Linked DNA regions of Anolis sagrei. The protein of the gene in region 2 interacts with the protein of the main gene of each other region in a pairwise test. Links are inferred from orthologs where the notes say so. Each region holds a gene or a part of one and is shown on either strand. Other genes may lie near its edges. The genes, in order: CCDC185 and KXD1.

Evidence for each region.
Region 1: the proteins of KXD1 (region 2) and CCDC185 interact in a two-hybrid assay, tested with the Homo sapiens proteins (2 studies listed by BioGRID and IntAct). The two-hybrid records come from large-scale screens. The link is inferred for Anolis sagrei from reciprocal best matches to the Homo sapiens genes KXD1 and CCDC185.

The regions. Positions count from the first base shown.
Region 1 is NC_090021.1:87,014,833-87,024,314, forward strand, and holds CCDC185 (coiled-coil domain-containing protein 185), read left to right. Parts: upstream 1-5,158; 5' UTR 5,159-5,165; coding exon 5,166-7,115; 3' UTR 7,116-7,226; downstream 7,227-9,482.
Region 2 is NC_090034.1:50,951,598-50,961,511, forward strand, and holds the start of KXD1 (kxDL motif-containing protein 1), read right to left. Parts: upstream 4,585-9,914; 5' UTR 4,423-4,584; intron 1-4,422.

The DNA.
Region 1 (9,482 bases), on a different chromosome or scaffold from region 2:
AAAAGAGCCCCCGATGGCGCACTGGGTTAAACCGCTGAGCTGCTGAGCTTGTTGACCAAAAGGTCGCAGGTTCAAATCCAGGGAGCAGCTTGAGCTTCCGCTGTCAGCCCCAACTTCTGCCAACCTAGCAGTTCAAAAACATACAAATGTGAATAGATCAATAGGTACTGCTCAGTCATGCCAGCCAAATGACCTTGGAGATGTCTCCGGACAATGCCGGCTCTTTGGCTTAGAAATGGAGATGAACACCAACCCCCAAAGTCAGACATAACTGGACTTAATGTCAGGGGACAACTTTTACCTTTACCTTACAGACATAATGATAGAGTTGATAGCGGGGTTGCCAGGCGCTGAAGGTGAAAATAAAGTACTCTGGAAAGGAAAGGCCTCATCCCCGCCCCCTTTCACCCAAGGTCCTCTATGGCCTAGACACCTCTTGTGGCAAAGACATCCAGATAGTACCTGCACCCAGCCTCCGGAGAAGGTCTAGAAGGGGGAGTGGGGAGAGGTCAGATGGGCTACAGAAGATAGAGAGACCCCTCGCCACCCAGAGTGGAGCCCATGTCACCTGGGTGCCCAGAAGGATGCCACCATTGGAGGGAGGGGAAGAGGCTGGCCAGGCTTGGACTCACTCCCTACCGGAAGGAAGCGCATGCTAGGCTCACTGCATACTCAGATCTGGTGCATGCAATCAGTGGAAATAATTATAATGATGAATGTTAAACTTCCATTCTATGTCTAACTTTTGTTTATTTTAATATGTATTTTATGGAAATATGTTTTAATATGTGTATTTTATGGAGTGTTTTTTAAATTATTTTGTGTTTTGATTAGGTGTTGTAATAATGTTGTAACCCACCTCAAGCCCTGAGAAAAGGCGGGTAAAAAATAAAATTATTATTATTATTATTATTATTATTATTTGATGTCCTGGACCAGGGTGCAATGGGACGTGGGACATTTTATCTAAATAAGGGACTGTCCCTTATAATCCAGGACACCTGGCAATGCTGGTTGATACTCTATCAATGGGAGTGTCTGCTGGACCTACCTCCTTCGGGGTGCCACAAAGGGGCCTCATAACTACTAATACAGGCCCTCATTTGTCCTAAATCCAGCACTGCTCATTTGAGTCGTCATTTTATAAAAAAGATACAATTTTATTATTATCCAATTGTATATAATGGAAATGGAGCAACCACAGGAGTCCTGGAACCAAGCACCAGCAGATACCAAGGAACCACTGTACTTCCATTTATCCTGTTTGTTGTAACTTTTTATAACTGTTTGTACTATTGAGAGGAGGAAACACATTAGAGGGATGAAACTGAAGTTCACAGTTCAATCTTTTAACCTTCTTGTTGTACAGTTAATTCAACTAACAGAATATATACTACAATATTCTTTATATATGCATCACCGCATGAAATAATCCATATGCTAGTGACTGGGCTAAGTGTTTGATTGTACATTACAGGGGCTAGTAATTACATCTTGTATGTGGCATTAGAAAAATCAGATTACATATGATTATCCATCCAGATTTACCAGCATTCGGCTGTAGATTCTCTGTTCCAGTGCCAAAGCACTGCACAGAAACATCCAGGGAAGAGGCAAAGGTTTCACTGACGTGATTAGTCTTCCTAGCAGGCTGAGTTCTTCCTCTGAGAAATGGAGCACTGACACTATTAACCAAGCTGGACTCCAAATGCTTTTAAAGGATTTTTAAAAGTCCAAATCTCTTGATCCTCAGATGCTGTAAAAGCTAAGGAATTAAATACTTGTGAAATGGCTGTGTGACTATGTGAGAGCTAGTCCTAGACATTTTGCTGCCTGATGTAGAGCAGAAATTGGCACTCCTACCTGCCAAATGAAACTGTATAGTACCCTAAACCAGCCATTATTTTGGTGCCTGAGGCAGAAATTCGCAATCAACTCTTTCCATCTCCTGGGCGATAAAACTATAATAACAAGAAATTAAACAGCTAACAATTCAGTGCCCTTTCATGACACCAAAACCTGCTACCAAAGATGCCTGAAGCAAGAGTGAATCACAAAATGTATATTCTCCCCCCACCCCACCCCACCCCCATCCCAATGCAGTGGTCTTTAAACCACAAGTAGATCTTTACAGCCTAGGGAAAATACTGATGGTATTACCATTTAAAATATATATTATTTCTCTTTTGAGAAAGAGAGAGAGATTTAGGAGTGAAAGAGGAAAAGAGTGACTAGATACAAATGAACATTTTTTAAAAGTTTAGTATTGTACCAAGAACCTTTCCCCCAGTATTGTATGAATTTTGAAGCCTTGGGCCTCCAAGTATGCATTCTGAACATATGCAGGAGGATTTACATGCATTTACATATGTACACACAGAGAGGCACTGGTTAAAATCTTGGCAGTTTGAAACTGCCAGCCGCAGCAAGAGAGTTCCAAAAAGGACTACACTAAGGGGCACTGCGACACTACACAAGTATAGTATTTACATATATACACACAGAAGTCTTAACAGGATCACATAAACCTTAAGGTTCTACTTTTACTGCCATGGTTCCATGGAATATTGGGATTTGCAGTTCATTGTGTGCCTTAAAATTATTTTCAACTTCATGTGGCCCTAAGGCAGACTATTGGAAGAGCAATAAATCACAGAGTTTCCTTGGTAAGATTTGTTAAGGAAAAAGTTGCCTTCATCTGAGACTGCATGACTTACCCAAGGCCATCATCTAACAGAGTTCACGGCCAAGTGGGGAGTTGAACCCTGCTCTCCAGAGTGCTCTCCAGAGTCTACTTCAATGCTCAAATCACTACACCAGTCTGGAGTTTCCTCCTGTTTGGTAAAGTCCAGCTTTACTTCCCCATTTCTCAATTTGTTGGTGTTAAAAGTTATTTTGCAAGGGAAACATTTTGAATGCCACAAACTGCTGGTCTGTGAAGCAAAGCACAGACCAATGCTACATAGTTGCCTCAGCATTCCAAGACTCAGGAATAGTTCAATGAGATTCCTCCTGTAGTAGACCAGATGCCAGATTAATGTAGTTTCTGGTTGCTTGAGAGTTACTATTACAAATGGGCTTAACTAGCACTATACACTAAGCCTGGGTAACAACGAAAAAAATTGTTTCTAAAATCGATTTGTATTTGGGGGGTTTTTTTGTTTCGATATTTAAAATAATTACAAAATTTTCCTTTTAAAAAGTTCGATATTTACGAAATTTCGTAAATGGTAAAAAAATTAACGAATCGATTTCCGAAACAATAACGAATCGATTTGTTAATGGCAGACGCGACCGCGAAATACGCTAAAAAACCTCCAAAACCTTCTGAAGCTTCCCTCTCCCTCTGTTGTTGACTGTTGGTGTGATTTTATAATTTTTTTTCACTAATTAAACCATAAAACTGGCCCAGTCATGCGGAAATAATAACGAAACGACCTCAAAACAATAACGAAATGAATACAATATCGAAATACGAAGCATTTACAAAACGTTTTTGAAAATTCTTTTTTTTAATAATTGCTCCAGAATGGTTCGTTATCGTTTTGTAATTGAAAAAATTAACGAATTATTAACGAATTACGAATTAACGAAACGAAACCGCCCAGCCCTACTATACACCATGCTATACCATACCACAAACTTTTTACAAACTTTATTACTATGTTATTATTTTATTTGATGTTAGTTTTGTTTATATGTACTTTTGCTCTATTGTAATTTGTATGGGCATGGCCTCATGTTAGCCGCCCCAAATCTCTTTGGAGAGATGGTGGCAGGGTATAAATAGTTTATTGTTGTTGTTATTATTATTATTCTATTTTTTGCTGGTTGTGTGAGAGTTCCTGTTAACTAAGAGTCTACTGTAGTTTGTTACAGGAGTCTTTAATATTTATTGACTGTTATAGCAGTGTTTTGCATTTTTTTAAAAAAAGTCCAACTTCCCTCTTTCTCAAATTGCTGCTAACCTTCTAAGGGAAAAAGTGGGGAATGGCACAGGCTGCTGGCCTGTGAAAGCAAAACACAGGTTGTGTGGCATTTTGCTAAACATCCCCAACTGAGCAAGACCCAGGAATGCTCCCAGAGCTGGGAAAAGACCCATCCAATCCAACTCCATTGTGCCATGCAATCCTGCACGACTTTGGCATGGGCAAACTTTGGTCCTCCAGGTGTTTTGGACTTCAACTCCCAAAATTCCTAATAGCTGGCTGACTATGGGGCCTTCCACACAACCTTATATTTCAGAATATCAAGGCAGAAAATTCCACAATATCTGCTTTGAACTTATTTGAGTCCAGCTAGTCCTAGACATTTTACGGTATGATGTAGAGTTGCAATTGTCACTCCCACCTCCCAAATGAAACTGTATAATACCCAAAGGGCCCTTCCGCATAGCCCTATATCCCAGGATATCAAGGTAGGAAATCCCACATTATCTGAGTATGGACTCAGATAACCCAGTTCAAAGCAGATATTGTGGGATTTTCTGCCTTGATATTCTGGGATACAGGGATATGTAGAAAGACCCTCTGAGAGAGCTAACCCTAAACATTTTGCAGCCTGGTGTAGAGCAACAATTTACACTTCCAGCTCCCAAATGAAACTTCATAGTACCCTAAACCTGCCATTATTGTAGTGCCTGAGACAGAAATTCCCACCATCATCTCATTCCATGGGCGATAAAAACTATAACAATAAATTAAGCAGGTAACAATCCAGTGCCCTTTCATGACATCAAAACCCTGCTACCAAAGATGCCTGAAGCAAGAGGGAGCCACAAAATGTGTGTGTATTGTGGCTTTCATGGCCAGAATCATTGGGTTGGTGTAAGTTTTCCGGGCTGTATGTATATTCTTTTCCCTACCCCATCCTAATGCAGCTGTTAGGAACTGTGGGAGTTGAAGTGAAGTTTGCCCACGCCTGCTTGAGGATCTCCTCTATTTGACTCTTTCGAGTTCACGTTGGGACTGAAGGGGAGAGCTGGTCACGTGGGAGGAAGGGGTGAGGAAGTCCCTCTCTGACCAGCCCAGCCCCGCCCGGCTCGGGCTGGAGGGCGGGGCGCGCGGTCTCCTTGGCGACGCTTGTGACGCGCGCGCGCTGCCTATGTGGCGCCGGGGCGCGCGTGGCGGGGGGCGGGGCCGGGGGGGCGCGAGGGCACTCGGGCCATGCGGCGGCAGCAGCAGCGACGGCGCCGCGCGCGTGGCGGGTGGGCGGCGTGCGTGGGCGGCGAGGAGGAGGCGGGCAACCAGACCAGCAGCCGCCGCGCCGCGGGCAAGAAGAAGCCGCCCGCCCCGTCGTGCTGCAGCCTGTCCGGCGCGGAAAGCCCGCGGGAGATGGCGAGGCGCAAGAGCCCCGGGCGCTTCTCGCCGGCGTGCGGCTTCCTGGAGGCCTACAGCTCGGAGCCCGAGGTGGCGGGCGGCGAGGGCCGGAGGGGCCGCCTGGCCGGTCGGCCGGGAAAGAGCCGCGCCTGCTCCTCCTCGCTCCGCCGGCCCAAGCCCGCCTCGGCGCGCCGCCTCTCGGCCTGGCAGCCCGGGGGAGAGGGCTGCGCCACGCCCGGCACGGCCACCTCTTGCACCACCCTCTACGGCGGGGACTGGCCCGCCGGCCCGCGCGCCGAGGAGCCCTGGGCCAGCCCCGTGCCCCGCCCGCTCGACTACGCCGCCGCCGACTTCCCCACCGACGCCAGCAAGCCGGCCTCGCGCTGCCCCTCCTCCTACTCCTCCCTGGGCCCGCCCCCGAAGCCCGAGGCCAAAGAGCTCAGCCGACGGGACTGGCGGGAGCTCTGCGGGAGCAGCCCCAGCCTCGTGGACCTCATGCACTCCTTGCGGAAGTACGAGGAGGAAGAGGAGGAGGAAGCTGCTGCTGCTGCTGCAGCCTATGACCCCATCGGTGCCACCCCACACCTCCGCCACCCCCAGAAGCAGCCCAGGAAAGCCCACGACCACCAGATCCACCTCCATGACTTGGTGGACAAGCGCTACGAGGACCTGCTCCCCGAAAGGGACAAGAAGATCGCTGCCCTGATGCTGGCCCGGCACCAGGAGGAGGAGGAGATGAAGGACAGGCAGCTGCGGGTTTCCGACGCCTGGGAGAACCTGAGGCGGAAGGAGAAGAAGCACAAGGCCCGGCTGGACAAGGAGCGCCGGTACCATGTGGCCGACAGCCTGGAGCAGTGGCAGCGGGACCGCGACCAGAGGCTCTCCAAGCTCCGGCTGGAGGAACAGCAGCTCTTAGCCTCCAGGGAGAGGGACATGATGCTCCGCGACAAGAAGTGGAAGAAGCTGGCCAAAGAACAGGAGTCTCGGCGCAGAGAGAAATGCGAAAGTGCCCGGCTTCAAGCCGAGTACCGGAAACGTTGCCAGGAGAAGCAACTCTGGGAGAAAAAGCTAAGCGAGAGGAGTGCTCGGGAGCAGAGCTCTCATGCCTACAAGGAGAAGATGCTGCAGGCCCTGGAGAAGAGGCTGATGAAGGAAATGGAAAGGAAGAGGCGGAAAACAGATATGAATGAATACAGGCGGGCCCAGCACATGCACAAGGACCAAATGGATGACCGGCTGAAAGCGGATGAGCTCTACAAGAGGCTCTGTATCGAGCAGAAGCTCCAGCGGTCTCAGGAGATCCTGGAGCAGCTGCTGGAAGAGAGGAACAGGGAACTGAAGGAAAGGTCTTTCAAAGAGGAGGAGCAAGGCATGATCGCCAAGGTGCGAGCCAAAGAGACGGAGGAGGAGAAGAGACGGCGGAAGGAGATGTTGCTGCAGATTGCCGAGATGAAGATCCAGCAGGCCAGAGAGATCATGTCCAAAAATATTGATGACCGAGCACAGCATGTAAAAGAAATGAACTGCCTGAAGGAAAGGAACCACCATTGCCGCAAACAGAAGCTCGATTACGATGAAAAATGTCACCTACGGGAGTTGCAAGAAGCACTACGACGGAAGGATCAGAAAAGCAATCAGATCCTAAGGCACAAAGACACGGCTATTGAAGAATCGAGGAAAATTGCCAAAGCATCGTATGACCTTAGGGAAAAAGTGAGAGATCTGATCAACCATAATTCATTCGATCAGATGGCATTAGATGCCCATCGCAATGCAAGCGTCCTTAGAGGTCTCTAGTGAAGTGTAACGAAACATCCCAGAATGTCTTGTGCCCCTCAAAACATGGTTGTAATGTGTTCATTTTGTAGAATTATGCACTGCTGTACACTAAAGTGGTTTCAGCCTTAATTCATGTTTGACTCATAAGTCTTTGGTTGGATTGTGATTTAAAGAAGCTGTATACCACATCTCACTTAGCTTTATATATTGTATCTCATATATTACTTGGATTTGAACGTAAGTCACTACAGCTTTATACAATTAATTGTAGCCATGACATAATGGGTGATACCTTTTAATTTAATATTTCTGTAACAATCCTTTTAAGTGTGTTTTTACAATGGCAACCTGAAGTTCTTCATAAATTCTTGATTTCACATATATTTAATGACATTAGCATTTCATATCCAAGTATGCATCCATCACTCATAATCAAGAACATAGTGAAAGTTGCTCAATATTTTTATATTTCAATAAATATTTCTATAGTTCAATAAATATTTTTATACCCAAAGAAGCAAGTCTCCAGTGCACATAGCTAGCCCACTTATTTCTGTGAATCATATCATGGTGTCCATTTGGGGTGGCAAAGTGCCCCCTCAGATAATCTTGGGCTGAAATTCCTAAAATTTAAACACACTCAAATACACTGGGCTTTTGTGGGATTCGGTGAATTAGTGTATTCCCCATTAAGAATCATTTGACTGTTGGCTTCCCATTCCATTTATGTCAACATAAGATAGGTTGATTTTACTGGGATTTACAACAGTGCAATCCTTTGAATCAGCATCATAATTTAATCACTGGCAGGCTGAGGGTGTCTGAAGCAGAGAGGCAATCAAAGCATTCTTTCTAGAGGTTATCTATAGACGACTGGAACAAGTGTTACGTATAACTTTTCCCCCACTGGAAAAGAATATCCCACTTCTGACACCAATTTGTCATGAATGACTTTTCAATAACTTTGAAGCATAGGCGCTTTTTATTGCAATTTCCAGTGTGAGAGGGTATATCAGATTACAGAAAAACATTTAGACAAAGAATGGCATTGGACATGCAAACATACAGATTCTATGCAACTACATTGGATTTACAATTACATGGCTAACTAACAAAGGGGAATTACATTTTCACTCAACATTCACACCACATGTACATGCATTCATCTTCATGCATCCAAATATTACCATATCCTTTTCTCCCTCCTTGGAGAAGCACCTGTTAGGCCTGCTTTCCTGCAGCCTGCCAATGCATTGTTCCAAAACTTCCATAATGCCATAACTTCAAAACTCCAAAATACATCCTTTCCCTAAGCACAATGCCAAGGACCAAACCTCTGTTTTCTATACAGCAGAACCTGACTCCCTGCACAAAATCCAAGACTCCAAGGGCACACTTCTTCCTCTTCCCTTGAGAAAGAAGACCCAAAGTGATCAGACTGCTCCCTTGCAAATCTGCCACTCCATGATACACTATCTCTCTCCTTCCCATGGAGCAGAGTATAGCGGGTGGAACAGACTCCTCTGGTCTGCCACAACTTGGGCATTATTAGACTGAGTCATAAAAGACTCTGCTGATGTAGTCCCAAAGTTGTAAATGAATGATAGACTTCTTCCATCCTGGCTTCATCTCAGTTTCTTGACTAGATGTTGATCTTGATTGGTGTTGACAAACACAAGGCTTGTGTTGACTTCCTTCCTAACATTGTAAACATTTCTGTTATCATTGTCCCAGTTCTTATCAGAGTTTACTCTTCAGTTCTTATTAGCAACTTTTAATTACAGTCCAGCAAGCAGGTAGATAGTCATTGCAGGTCTTAATATTATACTGGTGTCTCCAAAATTATTAACTCCACTCACACAACTTCTTCCATTCATTCTCACACATCATTATTAAATCCACATTTATCAAATCTGCATATAGAATTTCTTGTGACACGAATTCATGTAGCACAGTGGTTCCCAACCTTTATTTGACCAGGGACCACTCTCCAACATTAGTACCCAAAGGGTTACAAAACAGTTTTTGGTCAACTTTTGATTTGGTTTGGTTATTTGGGGTGCTGATTCAGAAAATTTCATTGGATAAACCTCATCAGCTCTAGTTTCAGATACAAAACATATGCCATCCAGTAATCGCCATCTGCCCACACACAGAAAACCATAACTAATAATCTAGAACTGATGTGGTCTATCCAATGCAATTTTCTGAATCAGCACCGCAATTAACCCCAAGAGCAGACCTAAAAACAAAGAAACCAAGGTGTCCCCGCTTCCAGGCACCACATGGAATGGCTCCCTCAGGAAGAGGGAGGAGAAGCAGCAGTCTTGAGGCTTGTTGCACCTTTTGTGGGTAGTCAGCCTCTCCTCTCCTGACACTCCCATT
Region 2 (9,914 bases):
GCACTGACCCTGACTAATTGACTCTGTTGATGTCAGAGCAGGAGTATACTTGTAGAGGCTGTAGTCTGAAAATGGATCATAGGAGTTGTAGTCCTAAAAGAAAAGAGCAGATGCTGCAGTTTTTAGAAAAACAATTCCCTCCCAAATTCTTTGTATGCAAAACTAGAAGATAAGACCAGTGTTTGGCTGCTGTTCAAGCAAGTCAGGGTCAGTGCTAGAGACATGAAGTTCCAGTGAGTTTCTATCTTAGCTGTTTGCGTGCATAGAATAGAGAGCCAATTACAATACAATGAACAAGGAATAAGCCAGTGAAAAAGACAAAATGTAAACACCAATCAAAATTGTGTTGTTTGATCTGCTGTAAATTATAAACAATTGCAGCCCCACTTTTGGAGTGCAGCAGTTCTTTATGCTTCAAGCCAACTGTCCACCATTTGTTGGCTGGGAAATAAAGCCTTCTTCACTTGACTCAACTTGTCCTTGTGGTCCATCCCTATGCCACCCCCTTGAGAGCAGAAGAGAAGGGAACCTCTGAGAGCGTGCAGAGTTCCCCTTCATTGTCAGTATGCTGCAGTGAGATGTTTAGTCCATATATAAGTCTGTTTGCAGCAGATGTATAGTACACTATAGTACAGTCAGTTGAAGTGCCAGTCTGCTACTGAGCACAATTCAAAGTGCTGGCTTTAGCCTATAAAGCCCTAAATGGTTCTGGCCCAGCTTACCTGTCTGAGCATATCTCTCCCTATGAACCATCTCGGAGATTAAGATTGTCCAGGGAGGCCCTACTCTCAGTCCTACCTCTTTCGCAGGCCTGACTGGTGGGAACGAGAGTCAGGGCCTTCTCAGTAGTGGCCCCTCGGCTATGGAACTGTCTCCCCAGTGACATTAGATCAGGCCCCTGCCTCCTAGCCTTCAGAAGAAAGGTAAAAACTTGGCTGTGGGGCCGGGCCTTCGGAGAATAGTGCAGTGCAATTAACAGATCTGGAATATATGGAATGACTATGGATGGTGTGATTTTAAGCACTTTATTAGAGTTTAAGACTCTCTGCACATTGCACTTGCCCGGAAATCCAACATACCTCCTGCCACACCCAGCACTTTTAACCTGTACCCATCACTGGCCCGGCCCTGGTTTTTATTGCGTAATGATGTAATGTTTTGTTATTGCATATGTTTTAATTTGCTTTAAATTGTATTGTTATTGTTTTGCTGTTGTTGTGTTGAGGCCTTGGCCTTTGTAAGCAGCATCGAGTCCTGCGGGAGATGCTAGCGGGGTACAAATAAAGTTTAATAATAATAATAATATGGAATAGAATGCTTTTAAATGTTTAATATGTTTTTAATTTTAATCTAATTTAATTTTTTTTAATTGAATGTGTTTTAAGGCATTGAATAATTGCCTCCATGTAAGTTGCCATGTAAGGAGCCCCCGGTGGCGCAGTGGGTTAAAGCGCTGAGCTGCTGAGCTTGTTGACCTAAAGGTCGCAGGTTTGATTCCGGGGAGCAGCGTGAGCTTCTGCTGTCACCCCTAGCTCCTGCCAACCTAGCAGTTCGAAAATATGCAAATGTGAGTAGATCAATAGTTACCGCTCCGGCGGGAAGGTAATGGCGCTCCATGCAGTCATGCTGGCTACATGACCTTGGAGGTGTCTACGGACAACCCCGGCTCTTCGGCTTAGAAATGGAGATGAGCACCAACCCCCAGAGTCAGACATGACTGGACTTAATGTCAGGGGACAACCTTTACCTTACCTTTTAAGCTGCCTTGAGCCTCCTTTGGGGTAGAGAAAGGCGGGGTGTAGATAGCACCCCCGAAAGATGGCTATCCAACCTCTGTTTAAAAGCCTGGTAGCTTAATATACATGGACTTAGTTTCATGTGCAACAGTCTTCAGACTTATGTGTATAAGGTGTATATGAAACATCAATGTAAATACTGCATCTTAACTCTTGTAAAAAAAAATGGAACTATCCCTTTCTCTGAGTGGTGAAAGGTGACTCATTTTGGCTCTCCTACCTGCCTTTGACTTATACATTGAGTTTGACTTAGACTTATACCAAAGTACATATAGGCATATAAACAAATATAAAAGAAAAAGGAGAAAATATAATCATAGAATCATAGAGTTAGAAGAGACCTCATGGGCCATCCAGTCCAATTCCCTGCTAAGAAGCAGGAAAATTGAATTCAAAGCATCTCTGACAGATGGCCATCCAGCCTCTGTTTCAAAGCCCCCAAAGAAGGAGCCCCAGCCACACTCCGGGGCAGAGAGATCTTTTTCACATGCACTTCTGAAGATCTGGTATATATGTTGTGCATTGGCATAACGTTGTCCTTAACAGTTCAAAGAGATAACCAGGGATTTCAGTTTAACAGCTGAGAAGCCTAAATTGCCTTCTGTCAAGGGTATTTTGATTGTGCTTTTCCTGCATGGCAGAATGGGGTCAGACGAGATGGCCCATCGGATCTTAGAATCATAATCATAGAATCATAGAGTTGGAAGAGACCTCAAAACCATCCAGTGCCAAGCAGCAGGAAAATTGCATTCAAAGAGCATTCTCCCCATATTGCACTTTCCCCCAACTTATTGAAAGTTTAACTCCACTGTTCAGTCCTCTACGAGCTCCTTCCCTACAAATTGCACTTTTCATTGCTATCTCATCTAGTGTTTTATAATTTTATGTCAAACATCTGGCCTACCTATTGTGTTTGATTTTATATTATGTTATTTTATATTATTTATTTTATTTTATCGGTTTATTTTTACTGTGATGTTATTTTTTTGTTTATATTTTATGTTGCTGTATTGTATTGTACTGCTGTTGAAACATTCACACCTAGCTCCAACAGACAAGAGTCCTTTGTCCCACCTTGGTCATTCCACAGATGTATAAACCCTTTTTCCTAGTTCCAGCAGACCTCACTACCACTGAGGATGCTTGCCATAGATGCAGGCGAAACGTCAGGAGAAAATGCCTCTAGAACAGGGGTGCACAAACTTTTTAAACAGAGGGCCAGGTCACAGTCCCTCAAACTGGTGGAGGGCCGGATTATAATTTGGAAAAAAATGAATGAATTCCTATGCACACTGCATGTATCTTATTTGTAGTGCCGCATAGGGAAGCTGATGAGGAAACACAACATACAAACTATCTACAGACCCACCAAGAAAATCCAACAAATGCTACGTTCAGCAAAGGACAAAAGGGATCCTCTCACCTCTGCAGGAGTCTACCGTGTACCATGCAGCTGTGGACAAGTCTACATAGGGACCACCAAATGCAGCAGTATTGCCCAGACACGCATCAAGGAACATGAAAGGCACTGCAGACTACTTCAACCAGAGAAATCAGCCATAGCAGAGCACCTGATGAACCAACCTGGACACAGCATTTTATTTGAAAACACAGAAATGCTGGACCACTCTCATAACCACCATGTCAGACTACACAGAGAAGCTATTGAAATACACAAACATGTGGACAATTTCAACAGAAAGGAGGAAAGAATGAAAATGAACAAAATCTGGCTACCAGTATTAAAAAACTCTAAAATTGCAACAGCACAACAGAGGAAACAGGCAAGGACATCTACCTCTCAACAAAAGCTTGCCCCAGGCGCGGTCAGGCCATTGTATGCTAATCATGGTGGTCAGTTGGAACATTCACACCTAGCTCTAACAGAGAAGAGTCCTTTGTCTCACCCTGGTCATTCCACAGATATATAAACCCTTTTGCCTAGCTCCAACAGGCCTCACTACCTCTGAGGATGCTTGCCAAGTGCAGGCGAAACGTCAGGAGAGAATGCCTCTAGACCATGGCCATACAGCCCGAAAAAACCTACAACAACCCAGTGATTCCGGCCATGAAAGCCTTTGACAATACATTGGTGTGCACCCTCTGGGTTCGTCCGCTTAACCAATTACAGATCCACCTAACCGTAGTTTTGGCTAGCCCACATTGGACTAGTTTGCCAGAAGGTCATGGGGGACCTTGTTGAAGGCCTTACTGAAATCCACAGCATTCTCTGCACCTACCCAGCTTGTAACTCTAAATTGTAAGCCTAAATTGCCTTCTGTCAGGGGTGTTTTGACTGTGCTTTTCCTGCATGGCAGAATGGGGTCTCTTCCAACTCTATGATTCTATGACTTCTGTGCTCAGTAGCCCACAAACCTCACAAGGATTGCCCCTTGTGAAAGCCAACAAGCCCTTCCCAATAGGAAACCCCCTCCTTTCCAGCTGACAAGTCTTTGATTCTATGATTCTATAAGTCTGTATCTGTGTTGGCAGAAGAGGACCCTTCCCAAACTCCGCCCCTTCCCCAAGCTCCGCCCACAACCCCGCCCCCTGAGACACTCCATCGGGTCAGGCCCCGCCCACTCACTGTTCCCCAATGGCCATTTTGGCCCCGCCCCCGACGCACCTGAAAGAAGCTCCAAAGCCAAAAGCTCACATCCCTGACGCGACCGAGGCCTGCGCTGAGAGAGAGCGCTTCTTCCACTCAGCCCCACCGGAAGGCTCCTTTCCAACAGCCTCTAACGGCTCACTTCCGGGTGGGGCGTGGCTACGCGCTGACATAGGCTTTGCGTCCCTGGACGTGCCCTGCGTGGTTACCCTAGCAATGGTGGACCCGCCTGCGCTTTGCTTCCTACTCCGTTGGCTCCGCCCCCGCCGCATTTTCATTGGGGGATAAAAAGAGGGCTAAACCACGCCCTCTCTATGTTATGGGAATGCAATAACACAGATATTAGATTTATTCATTCATCGATTTTTTTGGATTGATATCCCGCTTCATCTTTTCAGAAAACAATAAAATAGTATTGCCATTTTTATATTATTATATATTATCAGCAGTAATATATTTCATATATTAGTGTTATATTGGTATTATATAGTATTATATTACATTATTAATATTATATGAATATATAATATATAATAATATTAGCATAGCACAATGTTAGTATTATATATTGTTATATTGTATTATTAATATTATATGAATATATAATATATGATGATATTAGCATAGCACAATATTAGTATTATATATTATTATAGTGTATTATTAATATTATATGAATATATAATATATGATGATATTAGCATAGCACAATATTAGTATTATATATTATTATAGTGTATTATTAATATTATATGAATATATAATATATGATAATATTAGCATAGCACAATATTAGTATTATATATTGTTATAGTGTATTATTAATATTATATGAATATGTAATATATGATATTATTAGCATAGCACAATATTAGTATTATGTATTATATCATATTATTATTAGTATTATAATGTATAATATTATTATTAATATTATATGTCAATATAAAATATTATATTATTCTTCCAGTTAAAGTATTACTTCATTCTCTCCACTGAGTCATCCTGAATACGCAGATTCATTTTAAAACCTCGGATCGGGGCAAAGGTCAGTTTGATGGGAACTGTAGTCTGTAAAGACCTTAAGGAAAAGCTGATGGGAACTGTTGCCTGTAAAGACACAAAGGAAAGCTTGATGTGAACTGTAGTCTGTAAAGACTTTAAGGAAAAGCTGATGTGAGCTGTAGTCTGTAAAGACCTTAAGGAAAAGCTGATGGGAACTGTAGCCTGTAAAGACACAAAGGGAAGGATGATGGGAACTGTAGTCTGTAAAGACACAAAGGAAAGCTTGATGTGAACTGTAGTCTGTAAAGACCTTAAGGAAAAGCTGATGGGAACTGTAGCCTGTAAGGACCCAAAAGGAAGGATGATGGGAACTGTAGTCTGTAAAGACATTCAGGAAAGGCTAATGGGAACTGTAATCCGAAAGGGTACAAAGGGAAGGATGATGGGAACCGTAGTCTGTAAAGTCAAAGGGAAGCTTGATGGGAACTGTAGTTTAAAGACACAAAGGGAAGGCTGGTGTGAACTGTAGTCCAAAAGGACATAAAGGCAGATTGGGACTGTAGTCTATAAAGACCCAAAGGGAAGACTAATGGGAACTGTAATCTGAAAAGACACAAAGGCTGATGGGAACTGTAATCTGAAATGACACAAAGTCTGATGGGAACTGTAGTCTGTAAAGAAATTAAGGAAAGGCTGATGGGAACTGTAATCCGAAAGGTCACAAAGTCAAGGCTGATGGGAACTGTAATCTGAAAAGACAGAGAGGCTGATGGGAAATGTAGTCTGTAAAGACATTAAGGAAAAGCTGGTGAGAACTGTAATCACAAAGAGAAGCCTGATGAGAACTGTAGTCTGAAAAGGCATAAGTAGAAAGCTGGTGGTAAATATACAGTCTGGGGATGGTCACTGTCCCTTTAAGAGGTTGCGCAATGGGGGTGTGCGGAGGTCAGGCTGGAGTGGCAGCTCTCGCAGCCTATCAGCCGCCTCCTCGGCCATCAGCTGATGGAAAGAGAGGCGGGACCAAGGAAGTGAGCAATTCCTGGGTCCAGGTGAGTGTTTTGCAAGCAGAGGAAAGTGAAGGGGGATTGGAGATTGGGGTAAAAGCCATGCCATTTCCTGCCCACCCTACTGCCTTTGCATTGCAATGGGTCGCTTCTCTCTTCTGCTTGCAATGGCTTGCAAGATGAGTGCAAGACATTCAGAATCTGGCTTCTCTCCTGCTTTTAATTTCTTCCTCCTTCCACCCAGCATAATGTCTACAGTCTTTAGGTTTCTCAATGTGTTTCAATCTCTGCCCTGTGTACTCCATATGCATTTGATAGAATTGGTATATTCTAGAACTAACATTTTAATACATGCGTTTATGGATTTTTTTTCTTGCAATGTTTGTGTGTTTTGACTGTGCCGTGAACCGCCATGAGGAAATCATAAAATTATTATTATTATTATTATTATTAAATAATATATTAGTAATATATACACTTTATATTATATGTATTTTATTCTATTATTCCTATTTTAATATTATATTTATATCCTCCTTTCTTCTCTTATAATAATAATGCTAATAATAATTGTATATTAGTAATATATACGCACACATAATATTATATGATATTAATTATATTTTATTTATTTAATTTTATTCTTATTAGTAATATTTGTATCCCACTACTCTTATTATTATTAAATTGTGTATTAGTAATATATGCACACTCATAATATTATATGATATTAATTCTATTTTATTTATTTTATTTTATTCTTATTAGTAATATTTGTATCCCACTTCTCCTATTATTATTAAATTGTATATTAGTAATATATGCACACCCATAATATTATATTAATTATATTTAATTTAATTTATTTTTATTAGTAATATTTTAGCACTATATTTATATCCCACATTCTTCTCTTATTATTATTATTATTATTAAATTGTATATTTATAATATATAAAATATCCTCAGAAGCACTTTAATTACCCGTTGGGTTGCTCTCTACTTTTGGTTTAATTACATCTGGCCCAGCCATAGGTTTTGAAATCATTGTGTGTTATTGTCTATGTGTGAGTTATATTAATTGTATTATTTATTTTGCTTATTGCTTGTTGTTTTTATCGATGTGTTGTTGGGATTGGCCTCATGTAAGCCACTCCAAGTCCCTTGGGGAGATGGTAGCGGGGTATAAATAAAGTTTTATTATTATTATTATTATTATTATTATACATATATTATATTGTTTTATATTAATTTTATGTCTATTAGTAATACTAGCTTGGGGACTCGGCGGTCCACGAGTTATTTGAAAAAAGCATTGTTTAATGTATTATCGAAGGCTTTCATGGCCGGAATCACTGAGTTGTAGGTTTTTTCGGGCTATATGGCCATGGTCTAGAGGCATTCTCCTGACGTTTCACCTGCATCTATAGCAAGCATCCTCAGAGGTAGTGAGGTCTGTTGGAACTAGGAAAAAGGGTTTATATATCTGTGGAATGACCAGGGTGAGACAAAGGACTCTTGTCTGTTGGAGCTAGGTGTGAATGTTTCAGCTGACCACCTTGATATAATGGCCTGACAGTGCCTGGAGCAAACTTTTGTTGAGAGGTGATTAGAAGTCCTTTTTTGTTTCCTCTCTGTTGTTGTTTGTTGGAGGCAAAACAGAACATCTAGGATGAATTCGTCTCTGAATGAAAGCTTTCCTTGGGTGTCGTGCAGTATGGTGTTTGGGGACGACATTGCCAGGGGTAGGGAAACATGTTCATAGTGCCCACTCTAACCTGGAATGTCAGTGGAGGGAGGGCAATCGGTGCTTCCTGCATAGTGGGAACTATAGCCTTTGTGGAGGCAGGAGGCTGTCTGTGTAACTGGACACCTCCACCACATACAGTCATACACATTTTCACTTTTATTATGTGTATAGATTAGTAATACACACACACACACACACACACACATAATATTATATTATACTAATTTTATTATTTTATTTTATGTAATGTTATTACTGGTTTCATGTTGTTGTATTTTCTTTTACTTATTACTAGCTTGGGTGCCTGGCATTGCCCATGTTATTTGAAAAAGTCAGTTTTGTAAATGTCCTAAATGCATAAAGTTGTGGGTGAACTACAACTCACATCATGCCAGGTTAACCCCGAGAAAGTCCATCAGTACTTCAAGTTTGCTATGTTTGCTCCGAGTTTCTCAACCTGGGGGTCGGGACCCCTGGGGGGGGGGTCGCGATGGGGTGTCAGAGGGAACGCCAAAGACCATCAGAAAACACAGTATTTTCTGTTGGTTGTGGGGGTTCTGTGTGGGAAATTTGGCCCGATTTTATTATTGGTGGAGTTCAGAATGCTCTTTGACTGTAGGTGAACTATACATCCCAGTAACTACAACTCGCATATGTCAAGGTCTATTTTCCCCCAAGAGCACCTCCATTTATTATTATTACATTTATTATTTTACTCTAATGATTATTATTACATTTATTATTTTGCTCTATTATTGTTATTATTACACTTATTATTTCACTCTATTATTATTACATTTATTATTTTACTGTATTATTGTTATTTTTTATTATATTTATTATTTTACTCTCTTTATTATTATTGGAAGTATACGAAAGCACATTTACACCGAAGAAGGTTAGAGTAATGGTTTAATCAGAGTTGGACAGCCTTATCCCCAAGCTCCACCAGTTTTATGCAAATATTTTACAAAAACAAATATGTAAAAATTACAGTTTTATGTAAATACTAGCTGTCCCCTGCCACGCGTTGCTGTGGCCCACATGGGGGTTCTGTGTGGGGGGTTTGGCCCAATTCTATCATTGGTGGGCTTCAGAATGCTCTCTGATTGTAGGTGAACTATAAATCCAAGCAACTACAACTCCCAAATGTCAAGGTCTGTTTTCCCCATGCTCCACCAGTATTCATATCAGGGCATATTGAGTATCCGTGCCATGCTTGGTCCAGACTCATCATTGTTTGAGTCCATAGTGCTGTCTGGATGTAGGTGATTTGCAACTGCAGAACTCAAGGTCAATGCCCACCAAAACCTTCCAGTATTTTCTGTTGGTCATGGGAGTTCTGTGAGCCTTTTTGATTCAATTCCATCCTTGGTGGAGTTCAGAATGCTCTTTGATTGTAGGTGAACTATAAATCCCAGCAACTACAGCTCCCAAATGACAAAATCAATCCCCCCCAAGTCCCACTAGTATTCAAATTTAGACATATAGGGTATTTGTGCCAAATTTGGTCCAGTGAATGAAAATACATCTTGCTTAACAGATATTTACATTACAATTCATAATAGTAGCAAAATGACAGTTGTGAAGTAGCAACGAAAATAACTTTATGGTTGGGGGGCACCACAACATGAGGAACTGTATTAAGGGGTCGTGGCATTAGGAAGGTTGAGAACCACTGCTCTAGATTCATCATGGCTGGGGTTCAGTGTACTAACTGGCTGCAGGGTAAACTACAACTCCCACTATGG